2 linked regions of the Drosophila melanogaster genome follow. The protein of the gene in region 2 interacts with the protein of the main gene of each other region in a pairwise test. Each region holds a gene or a part of one and is shown on either strand. Other genes may lie near its edges.

What was found.
Region 1: the proteins of CG17994 (region 2) and Rilpl interact in a two-hybrid assay, tested with the Drosophila melanogaster proteins (one large-scale study listed by BioGRID).

What each region holds. Positions count from the first base shown.
Region 1 is NC_004354.4:1,391,441-1,398,037, forward strand, and holds Rilpl (Rab interacting lysosomal protein like), read left to right. Parts: upstream 1-1,613; 5' UTR 1,614-2,103; coding exon 2,104-2,718; intron 2,719-2,783; coding exon 2,784-3,274; intron 3,275-3,642; coding exon of another isoform or gene 3,643-3,657; coding exon 3,658-3,753; intron 3,754-3,805; coding exon 3,806-3,931; coding exon of another isoform or gene 3,932-3,935; exon of another isoform or gene 3,936-4,112; coding exon 4,113-4,245; 3' UTR 4,246-5,897; downstream 5,898-6,597. Other genes in the region: CG32813 (uncharacterized protein), read left to right, coding at 1-125. UniProt on the Drosophila melanogaster protein: May have a role in lysosome distribution by interacting with Arl8.
Region 2 is NT_033778.4:6,206,419-6,211,143, forward strand, and holds CG17994 (uncharacterized protein), read right to left. Parts: upstream 3,051-4,725; 5' UTR 2,891-3,050; coding exon 2,390-2,890; intron 1,902-2,389; coding exon 888-1,901; 3' UTR 801-887; downstream 1-800. Other genes in the region: Ttc7 (tetratricopeptide repeat domain 7), read right to left, coding at 3,676-3,808, 3,869-4,065, 4,129-4,242, 4,310-4,437.

The sequences.
Region 1 (6,597 bases), on a different chromosome or scaffold from region 2:
CCAATCCTGCGTGCCCGTGCCACTTCCCTGGAGCCAGTGTGCTCTCGCCCGTCGCCGTGACCGCCGCTAGTGCCTCATCGTCCGCTTCCGCCAATGTGTTGCAGACGCAGGCCAGCACCAGCTAGTCCGCAGCCAAGGGGCGGTTCGAACTAGTCGGGGGTCCTGCGGGCGAAAGCGAAAGCGACAGCGACATCATCTCGATAGTGGACATAGATGATGGGCGGTCTAGGGAGGACGAGCAGTCGGAGGACGATGGCGAGAACCGTGACCAGGCCATAACGGACCTGACGCTACCCGACGAAGACGAGGAAGACGATGTAGACGAAGATGACTCACAGGATGCCTTGGTCAGGGATGTTGGCGTGGTGGGCGGCCTGTCGTCGCCAGATACACCGCCCCACTCCTCTCCGCCGCCAGCGAAGCGCTCGAAGCGCCAGGAAGTCACCTCCGAGCTCCTGAGGCAGCTGGCCCTGCAGCAGAATCAGGATCCCCAGGAGGGGTGCTAGTATTTTGTCTAGTTTGCTAATTTTATACTTGCTACCATGGATTGACGCAACCACTTTGTAACATTAATTTTACCATATATATTTATTTACGCCCAGTTTGAGTGCCAAAACAGAAACCAAGATTGGGGCCTTGCCATCGAAAATGCTTGCCAAAGGACCTGCTGAAATAACCGGTCATAACCACTCGCGACCCACTATTTATTTGCCAGCCTAACTGAAACATAGCGATTCATCTCATTTTAAAATGTCTTGCGTCGCCTATTTTTTTATTGCCTTTTTTTTTCTATACATGTAACGTGTTTATTTTTAAGTTTTCCTACGAGCTGCTACCAAAAAGAATAAGAAGAAGAAGGTGACTATCTTGAATGTACATTTACTTTACAAAACTAGACCTTACTTACTTACTTAATTAGAGATCGAGCAGCTAAGAACGCATGAAAATGAAATGTACAAATGTGGTTCCTAATCTAGTCCCTAAAGTCAAAAGTGAAGAACGAAAGAGCTACAGAAAAGAAATCGAAATTGTTACGCCTAGCCGAGAACTTGTGTATTATTTTTTTATATCGCTTAGATTGTTCCCCCGAGGAAAGCATTGAAGGAACTGTAGCTAATTTATGTACTTAATGAACCAGTGAAACCAAACCAATGATTTGAAATGGTGTAAAGAGAAGAAACTTGCTAGTCGCCGCTGCATAACTGTGTAAATGTGGCACACAAACCATTTAGTTAGTGTTAGTGCTACTGTACGTGTAAAATACAATTAATTGCCTATCCAGACCCAGTAACCACAATTTACAAGGAAGCACACACCAAACGAAACTGAAAACCAAGAAAACAAAACTATTTATACAATTTTGTAAACAAGAACTTATTAATAAAACAATGAATTTACTTTGTGGCCCAGCCTGTTGACTTTTGGATAGTAAAATTTCGTTTAAGGCTTAACATTTTGGCACTTACGCTCATTTTGCTCGCTTAAGCTGCTCTTCATTTGGCGCCAAACGAATTGGCGTTGCCCAACACTGACCAGCCAGCACAAAGCGCTACCAGACTGCGCAACCGACTGCTCATCTGGGAACTGGTTCGCACATATGGGCGCCCGCGAACCAGTTATTCGTTACTCATCAGTTCCAGTTCGGTTCAGCAAAAATTGTGCAAATAAATTGCGGAAAGTCGGATTGTTTATGTGGGAATCGGCAGCGAAAAGCGACTCGGCGGCAGTAACAACTAGAGTGAATGAAGTGAGCACTGCCACTCCCACGCACACTACTGTGCAGTCTGTGTGCGCCAACTGTGAATTGCGAAGTGCGAATTCCGTACTTCGGATTGCGGATTCCCCCCCTCCCTTAAAGCACTTGGAAAACCAACACCTGGCGCACGTACACGCACACGCACACTTGTCCTGCTAGCGAAAGAAAAATCCCTGTCAGCTGGTGCAGCGATTCCCGAAGCAACTCCGAGGAGCAGGACACCGTGGAAAGAGGCGACAACTGAAGCTGGTCTTCAGTGAACACAGAGTCCAGTGAGCAAGTGTGAGCAAGTAAACAAGTGATACAGCGCTTGGCAGGAGTCACAGATTATCTGAGCGACCACCTGGATGCCCGGCTTTCACCTCAATGAGATGGGTGAAATGGTCCTGGACGCCATCGACGACATCGGCGTGGTCGATGTGTACGACTTGGCCTCCGACATTGGCAAGGAGTACGAGCGGATCATGGACCGCTTCGGCACGGACGCCGTCAGCGGGCTGATGCCCAAGATCATCAACACCCTGGAGCTGTTGGAGGCGCTGGCCACGAAGAACGAGCGCGAGAACGCCACCATCCAGGAGCTGCGCGATAAGGTGGCCCAGCTGGAGAGCGAGAAGCTGGAGAAGGCCGAGTTCCGGCGGCGGTTCGACAAGGAGCTGGAGCTGATCGAAGAGCAGTGGCGCAGCGAGACCAACGAGCTGGTCGATCTCGTCTCCTCGCTGCAAGACGAGAACAAGCGGCTGGTAAAGCAGACTCAGGATCTGCAGTCATCGTCCGCCCAGAGCTCCGGCCTGGGGGCCAGTCTCACCGAGAGCATTATCAGCATGACCAACCACGAGCTGCACAGCGCTCTTTCGGATACTCAAGTGCTGCAACGGCTGAAGGAGCAGATATACAAGCAGCGCGACGAGTTGAAGCACCGCGAGCGTGAGCTGCAGGACAAGTACAGCGAGCTGGAGCACGTGAGTGTCCTTAAGGATAGGTGCTCATATTCCCAGCTAACGTATTCTTAACTAACCCTTCCCAGCTCAATATCCAGGCGGAGCGTCTGAAGGCATCAGAGCGAGATACCCGGCGCCGCCACAAGCTGATGCAGGCCCAAGTGAAGACGCTGTGCGAGGAGCGCGCCGACTTTCTTGCCCAGCTGCAGGACCAGAGCCGGGAGATCAACCAACTGCGCAAGCGATTGGGCCTGGCCGAAAAGGAGAATGAGGATTTGGTGGCCTCGTACGACGATGGCCAGAACGATCCCAACCGGCCGCGGTACACCACGCGCGAGCTGAAAGAGTTGATTAGCGAGCGCGATGAGCTGCTGACCACCATCGACACCCTCAACGAGCAGCTGGCGGAGCTGAAGCCACCAAGCCAGGCGAAGGGCAAGCGGCAGCGTCACTTCTCCAGCTCCGACGATAGCGATGAGGACGACGATGGTCACGTGGCGGACAACGATGATGACGACGACGAGGAGGAGGCGGCTGCCGAGGCGAACGAGCTGGAGCCACCAGCGGCCGGAGAAACGTGAGTGAGCCCATTTCTGTTACATCCTTTAGTTTTGTGGTCCCTCACCAGAGAAAACAAGAATTTATGAACGACCGCTTGAGTCAAAGTGATTAACGAACAAGCATTTTCAGCCTGAGTCATTCTTTTGTTGTTGCTCAGTGCTAACAATATTCAAATAGACCCTATGATGCAAACGTTTAATTGGCAGGTGATTCAGAGCTTAAACGTATATATTTGCGTGTTTTTTCGCAAGGTCAGCAGGTAACTGGTAAATGGCACAATTGGGAGTCAAACAAATCGTTGGATTCGGATCTATATGTTGATTATTTTTGAGTTTTTATAGCTAATTACTATCCCTAGTTATGATTACTTAAGTACATACATAGTGCATCGCTTTTCAGGCCACCTGGACACGATGCGCCCGTGCAGGGCCCTTTGCCCTACGAGCCGGACGATGCGCCCTGGAAGAAGAGCTCCGAGTCGGGAATACGCAAATTGTAAGTGGCATTCAATCGGCGTAGAGCTCTCGATTCACTTTCTGCATTGTAGCTTCCGGAAGCTGTTCTCGGACCCGTCGGACGGCAGCAACACGTTCCCGAAACGTTCCTTGGCCACGCTCTCCAAGATGGCGCTGTCGGCCACGCCCGGTTCCGTTTCCGCCTCCGCAGCGGCGAAGTAAGCGCCCCTTAAAGCATCCGAGTTGGCGTGCATTTCACTTTTCGTTTGTTTTCTGTTTTTCCGTTTCCGTTCCATTCCGTTCCGTTCCGTTTGCACTGCCCCCCGCACCCCTGCATCTTGCATCCTAATTTATTATTTATTTTTTACTTTTACGTCTTACGATTACGTTTACATTTAGTTTAGGCAACAGCCTGTATCTGACCCTGTCCCTCGCCATTCACCTGCTCCGCCTGAGCTGTACATACATAGTTTACACACTCGATTGCTGTGCCCTCATAATTCTAAGTTGTTATGCAATTTTGTTTACGTAATACGCGTTTTATTCGTAACTCGTAACCCCTAACTGTACTGGATATATTTAATACGAATCCACTTTGTATTTTTCGTACCTTCGATTTATTCTAACTTGATTAACGACTACCACATAAGACTCCAAACATACCACAGCCCCCACATGTGCACGTGTTTCAAAAATCAAGATCGAGAACGAAAACGAGAACGAAAACGATATCGAGATTGTGCAAAGATTGCCGAGTGAGTTTTTAATGAATTTAGACAAAAACAAGCTTAGAAAGACAAACAGTCCTCCCAGGTGCAGATGCAGAGAAAACGATTCGGTGAGATGAGGAGACGAGACGAGGAGGACTCTGGTTCTGGGACCCCAGATTTTAGAAAGTCTAGGTAGAACGGGAAGATTTTGCTTCAATTATCCGTAGTGTAACTGTCCCTAAGACCCCTGCATCTATCTAGATCTTCGGCTATCGCCAGCCCGTATGAGTATTTTAGCACTCTCATAGCAGTTGCCCCAAGCGGCCTTATAAATATATTACAAATTTATCAAAATACGCAAACCTTAGAGCGAAAGAAACCTAAAAGTATATATAATTGATATATAATTAGCAAACGTTACAACCTTAGCGCATTGTTTGTTGACTTGAATTGAACTAACTAACGAAACCAATCTCAGCATAGTAGATTCCATTGATAGCATTCGATTGCACAAAGATGCCAAAAAGCGAAAATCTCCGCGTTACCCCATTGCCGGCCGGCCAGTCTAAATCAAGGAATGTTTTAGCCAAGAGTTTTACCATAGACTTAGCCACTGACCAGCTCGAATTGTTGTTACCGCACCCAGACGACTTCGCCCAGAGCCCCCACTCCACTTGAAGCCCAGTGATTTCGAGGAGATCTCAGTCCGATCCTCGTTCATAGCTAGTATCCATGAGAGAGACGCCCATGTAGTGCAATTACCAATATGGTGTCACTTCCCGCTCCCCTTCCACTCACAAGCACAAAGCGAGGAAACTCCGTTTACATATCAGCTCCATCGCTATCGTCGATGCGAACGTGCCAAAGACTAATGGTCAGACCCTATGCCCCCATTATTCGCAACTCCCCCCCACTACCCACACCACGCACCGAACACCCAGCCCACAACACCCGACTTACCAATCTCAATTAACCCATCTCGTTTCGAACACAACAAAGAGTGGCAACTGAACTTTTATAAAATTGAACACGAGCGCGCAATGGCATCGATATGAAAAAGTGGACTAACGTTGAGTGGGTGAAGACCACGAAAAGAAGATGGAGAGAAATTGAGTATTTGGTGAATTAATGTTAACTAAATTTATATACACATATACACATGCATTATACATAATATACTTTACTATATACTATGTAATACCGTATTATATGGAACTATGACTAACCAAAAAGGCAACAAGGCAACAATTATACAAAATTCAAAGCGTACCAGGGTGGCACTTGGACCATGGACTGCAGGAGCGACCAGAGCGATAGCGAGCATCGGATCGGATCGGATTGGATCGCATCATGGTGAACCGCATCAGAGGGCGACGCCTCCGCATCCGGGTATCATCTGCTCACCCCTGTACGTACATCAAATTTATGAGTGGCTTCCTTTGAGCGACCACCAAAATAAACTTATGAACCGTGGAGTGGATTTCGAATGAATGATTTGGGTTGGCGGCAAGTGGAGCACTCGCTGTGCGGAACCTAAGGTGTTTATTTCATTATTTAACATTACTTATAAGTTCGTTTTTAATTTGGCTTATTTTCGATTGCTTTCAAAATTATTCCCAAGGTATTGTAAGAAACAAGTCGAGATCGGCAGAGAGTTCAAGATCATTGTCATCATCGTGTGTTTCATCGTCAGAAACGAAGGATGTTTGAAGACCATCTTCAAGTTCAAGTATTTTCACGTATCATAACATTTCATATCAAGCCTTAAAGGTTAGTAGCGACTTCAATTTGCCCATAAACACATTTCGGGGTGCTCTAGTCATTGGAGTTCTGGCTTCCATGTCGCCCGAGCCTGTAGCCTCTAGCTACTGATATCCTTTGCACAAGGACAGTCGGTGGGGTTGTATTTCGATCGTGCTTTTGGTACTAAGAAAAGGGGGTGGATGTCGAACAAGGCTGATTGCGTAACACCTGGCAGTGCATCCCATGGGATTCCCCCGCGCCCGACCACCCATCGCGGTGGTTGGAGCTTTCTCGCCACGAGCTTTTCGACTGAGCTTTACCCCGGGGCTCTGGGCCACCCACTTACCAAGCCACGAAGCCATCTTGCAGCATCGTCAACCCTGCGCATCCGCGTCCGCATCCTGCATCTCGTGCGGTGCGTAGCAGCATCT
Region 2 (4,725 bases):
GAATATAATCGCCACGTTTTATCATTTTCATGGTTAGTAAATTCCCCCACGCCATAAATTCCTAGGGCGGGCTACTCAATGCGTAGGCAAGGCATACTTTCCAAGAGTAATTTCACGTTACAGTCCACAAAATCATGTCTCCACTAGCTACACAACAAAATGTCACCGTGCATGAGCACAATACTTGTTTCAATTTCAAAACCACCGCAACAATTATGCACTTGAGCTCTAAAACCGAGAAAGCAGTTAAAGTGTTAATCTAATTAACTTTGATAGAGACTAAAAGCTTGAACCCAGGAAACGACCGCTGGCCTAGGTCGACGATGAATCAGACTCAATGGGGTCAGATAACCTTGTCTCAGTTTGGGATGCATGTGCATCTTCTGTATAATTCGCGGGGCTCTTAGTCACTTTGAGTATTTGCACTACCGAAACGTGATCGATGCGAAATGAGGGGAAACTAAGGGGAGTCTTTCCTCTTGGGACACTGTCCCACTTCAAGGCCTTTGACTGAGGCTCACTCTGCCCATACGTATACTTATGAACGTGCTCTGCAGTTCCTGGTTCAGGGTGGGGTACACCTTTGTCTCCATTCAGACATCAACCTCCTCACCCGGTGCTTTTTGATTGTACGGCTTTGTTATCACTGTTCATTTGGCGATAAGATCCAAATCTATGCATCGGATTCCAATCATACGCGGGACCTTATGCAGTACTTGACTTAGCGTGTTACAAAAAAAAGCGAATAATTCTAATTCCGTAAATATAATATATATAGATAAATATACAAAAATAGAACTACAAGTATTAAATGACTTTAATAACATAAAACCAGCAACAATTTGTATATATGTACATAACCATCAAAAATGCATCATCCAAACAAGTTATTCCCTGGCAGATTGTTCGAAGAGCAGGCGACCCAGCTTTATCTGCTGCTGGACATATGAGTTGAGCGCTGGGTTATCCTGGCCCACCGAGCCACTAATAGCGCCTTCTGGTGTGACCGACTGGCGCACCAGCTCCCGCAGACTGGCAGAGATCTTGGCGGTACGGAAGCGATCATTTTGGCGCCGTTGGCGGCACTCAACGAAACGCTGGGACTGATGGCGTTTGCGTTCAATATCCTCGCGGAGCTGATCCCTGCGCAGCCGCTCCTCCTGCTGTCGCTCCCGCCAGTGCTCCTCGTGATGCACCTGCTCCATGTAGTTGTCGAGCTGCATACGCTTGAGGTACGACTCCATCAGCTGGCCGCGTAACTCGTCCGCCCGTCGCAGGCGTTGCGTTAGCCGCATGCAGATGTCGCGCTTACGCAGCGTGTCGTCCAGGTGCTGCTCCTCCTGATGCACAGTGACCGCCTCGCTACGACGCAGTTCCTCGCACCGTCGCTGTGAGATGTTAAGGTCTCGCTCCAGCCGCCTGGCCTCCAGTCGCTTCTTGACCGCATCGTCCTTGGCGTTAAGCGCTCCCCGCAATCGCTTAAGCTCTGCCAGATCGCGCTCGGCCAAAGCCTGCAGTCGCGCCTTGGTCACCAGGTAGTCCTGGAACTGTTTGTCGTGAACCGCATGCTTGTAAGCTTCCAGCTGCTCCACGCGAAGAAGCTGCCGCTCAAGTCGCTCGTTCTCCCAGAACTTGCGCGCCAACCAGGCCGTCTCCTTATCGGCGGCCTGCTGCCTCCGCTTTTCCGCCATGCAGTTCAGGATCTTCTGGTCGTGGCTGGGGACCTGCTGATATGCGGCTCGCACCATTGGTGCAAGGCACAAGTTGGCCATCGAGCTGCATAACGAGCTCTTCTTGATCTGCGGCTGGCACGAAACCACAGCCAAATTTTCTTGCGACTTGGACTTGGCCCGTCCGACGATGGAAAGGTTGTGTGCGTCGTTGAGGGGAGCCAAGAATTTCTGTAAAGGTGGCAAAGAATTAAAGGTAGGAATGCGATCACGTAGCGGCGATTACATTTGTTGCTTACTGACTTCTTAATTGGCTAAAACATCATTAGCCAAAATGTTTTTGACAGTTAAAAGCTTACAACATAAAATAATAAAAGTGGCCGCAGTTTGTAGGCATTAGAGTGGGGTTTTTAATTCTTTGAAACAAAATTGCAAAGTTGGGCGACGCTATATCGGCCGTGCTCCTTACGGCCAGAGAAACGACAGTTTTGGCCGTTTGTGGCCAAAATGAAAATAAGCAAGTTAAATAATTAAATATTAATAAATGTAAATCACTTTAGGGTGACAGTTTTGGGCGTCTTCTGCGTGGCAACGTTCAAACCAAACTTGCAGTTTTTATAGCTCTGAGATCACAGCGTTCATTTAGACAGACGGACGGATAGACTCTAAAATTGCTCATTGTCCATTCGAATAACCTTTTTCCTGGCATCTGAGCTTACTTGAAGCATTTTGCAATCCTTTTGAGCCCGGCGCTTTCGACGATCCTGAGGAATTTGTTGCGCTTTCTGTGCAGGCTGCTTCTCCCGGGACTCGCAACTGCGACTTCCTGCGCTCTTCGACCGCCGAGTCCTGCCTGAGCTTGCACTTCTTTTCTCACCGTCGAAGGATCCCCGCCTGCTGTGGGGAAACTTTCGCTCTGTTGGCGACCTGGAAGCACTTCGGTGGCAGCTTGTACTTTCCCGTCGCTGCAATTTCTCCAGGGTCTGAATGTCGTTTTCCAGTTGCAACAACTCCTTGACGCTCGCCTGCCGCTGATTGCCGCGTCCACTCGCAGAACCGCTGCTGTGGGAACTGTAACAGTCGCAGTGGCAGATGTCGCAGCAGCTGTCGGTCAACTCCAGTTGCTCAAGCAGATGCAAGTGCTCTGCCTTGGACCTTCCCTGGTCTTTGCTTTTGGCCCGCGACTCGCTGCGTACGCGACGCTTTCGTTTGGGCGTCATAATGCTTGTGCAACTAATCGGCCATCAAAATTCAAGTTGCTGATCTAACAGGGCCAAAGTCTAAAGTGGCACACAAAATGAATCGCCCGCGATTTTTTAAGAGTGGCGTAATAAACCCAAATTCCTGTGCCTGTTCCGCAGCGACACTTTCGACTGGCTTGTTTATATTTTTATTGATTGCCCGTACGCTATAGTAGTTGCCCAGGGCAACGACACAAGCGCACCGAAACTAAAGGAAATGGGGCCCAACTGCAAGTAAGCTCCTTGGTAATTTTAAGGTCTAAATTTGGCCTTTAGCAGAGAATGCGGATATTACGGCGTAAATTAGCTTGTAAGGAAAGTAAAAGGCCACAGGGTAAAAGAGAAACAAGCTTTCAAAACAATTAGAATCATTTTCCAAGTAGAAAATGCAAGGAACTTAAAAAATCGAATACTGACATTTACTGATACACAATGATATGATGAAATAATTTCACGAAATACTGTATATTTATATAATAACCAATTTTGTATGTAATTAACAACACCTAATAGAGTAATAAATTTAACCGAACCATCTCCTTAAAAGTGGGTGATTAAGGAAGATAGCAGAATGGTTCATTCACATAATACAGCCAAGCTCGAACAATTCTTGGTAATAATTTACACACAAACAATATTTAAACATTTGTTGCTCCAAAACTGCGATACAACAATTTTTACACTGAAGGAATTAGGAAGTATAATTCTAGTATTGCTGTTGACTTTGAGGTTTGTCAAGCTTCGAATTAGACACGAAAGTGTTCCTATTCAAACACCAAAGGTATAGAAGTAAAAGGTAGCACCGGACATGATGGCTCTAACTGCAGCGACGTGGCGAAGCAATCGGCTGAGGCATGGAAATCGCCCAGGATCTCCATCACCTTTCCCAGTGCGAACCTGGTAAATTTGTCAATATGAGTTTGGTTTTAAGTACTGAGCATACGTCTTTAAGCTTACCAAATTTTTGGACAGCTCGGATCCAGTTTGGCCGCATCTTTTAGCATTTTTTCAGCCAACCTCGGCTCGCCCAGTACCAAATGCGCCTCTCCAAGCGCACGCAAAGCCTCTGTGTGATTTGGGTTGGCGGCCACGGCGTTCAGGAAACATTGCTTGGCGTCAAACCATTGCTCCAAATAGACATGCACCTGGCCACGCTTAAAAACGGTAATTATATTAGTTGGAGTTAGAAAAAAATAAATCAAGATTGAAGGACTTACCATAAACATAATCTGATGCGAAAGCGGATAAATCTGTGAGGCTTCGTGTATGCAGTTGAGTGCCTCGTTCGGCTGATCAATCCGCAGATAGACATCAGCCAGCAGAAGCCATATCTAAAACAAATCCATTTAGCAGCATTAAATACATTATCGTGGATACTAAACGAAACTAAGAACGCACTTCAATCTGTAGCATCCAGGGTCGTCGGGGTCCAGGACGCTGCGTAAATGAGCTCAATGAGCTTGCTGCTTCACTCAGAGCCTGTTCAACGCGGGAGACTGCAGCCAATGAAGCCGCGTACACAGAATCTTTAAAAAGCGAATTATATATTAGTTCTTTCGACAAAAGCTTATACATAACGACAAGAAAAAAGGGTGAAACCGAAACAAAGATAAGGATAGGCAAACATTTTCAGATCATGCAAATATGTTTTAGAAGAAGGCCAGAAATGTATGTTATCTCGCCGAACAGGTAACGAGCCGAAAAAATACACTACTACTTAATTAATAATATGTTTTAGACTTATTTCGGTTGTCGCAAATACCGCTCAATGGTATTTTTGTGACTTTCGAAGACATAATTCGAAGATTATTGCA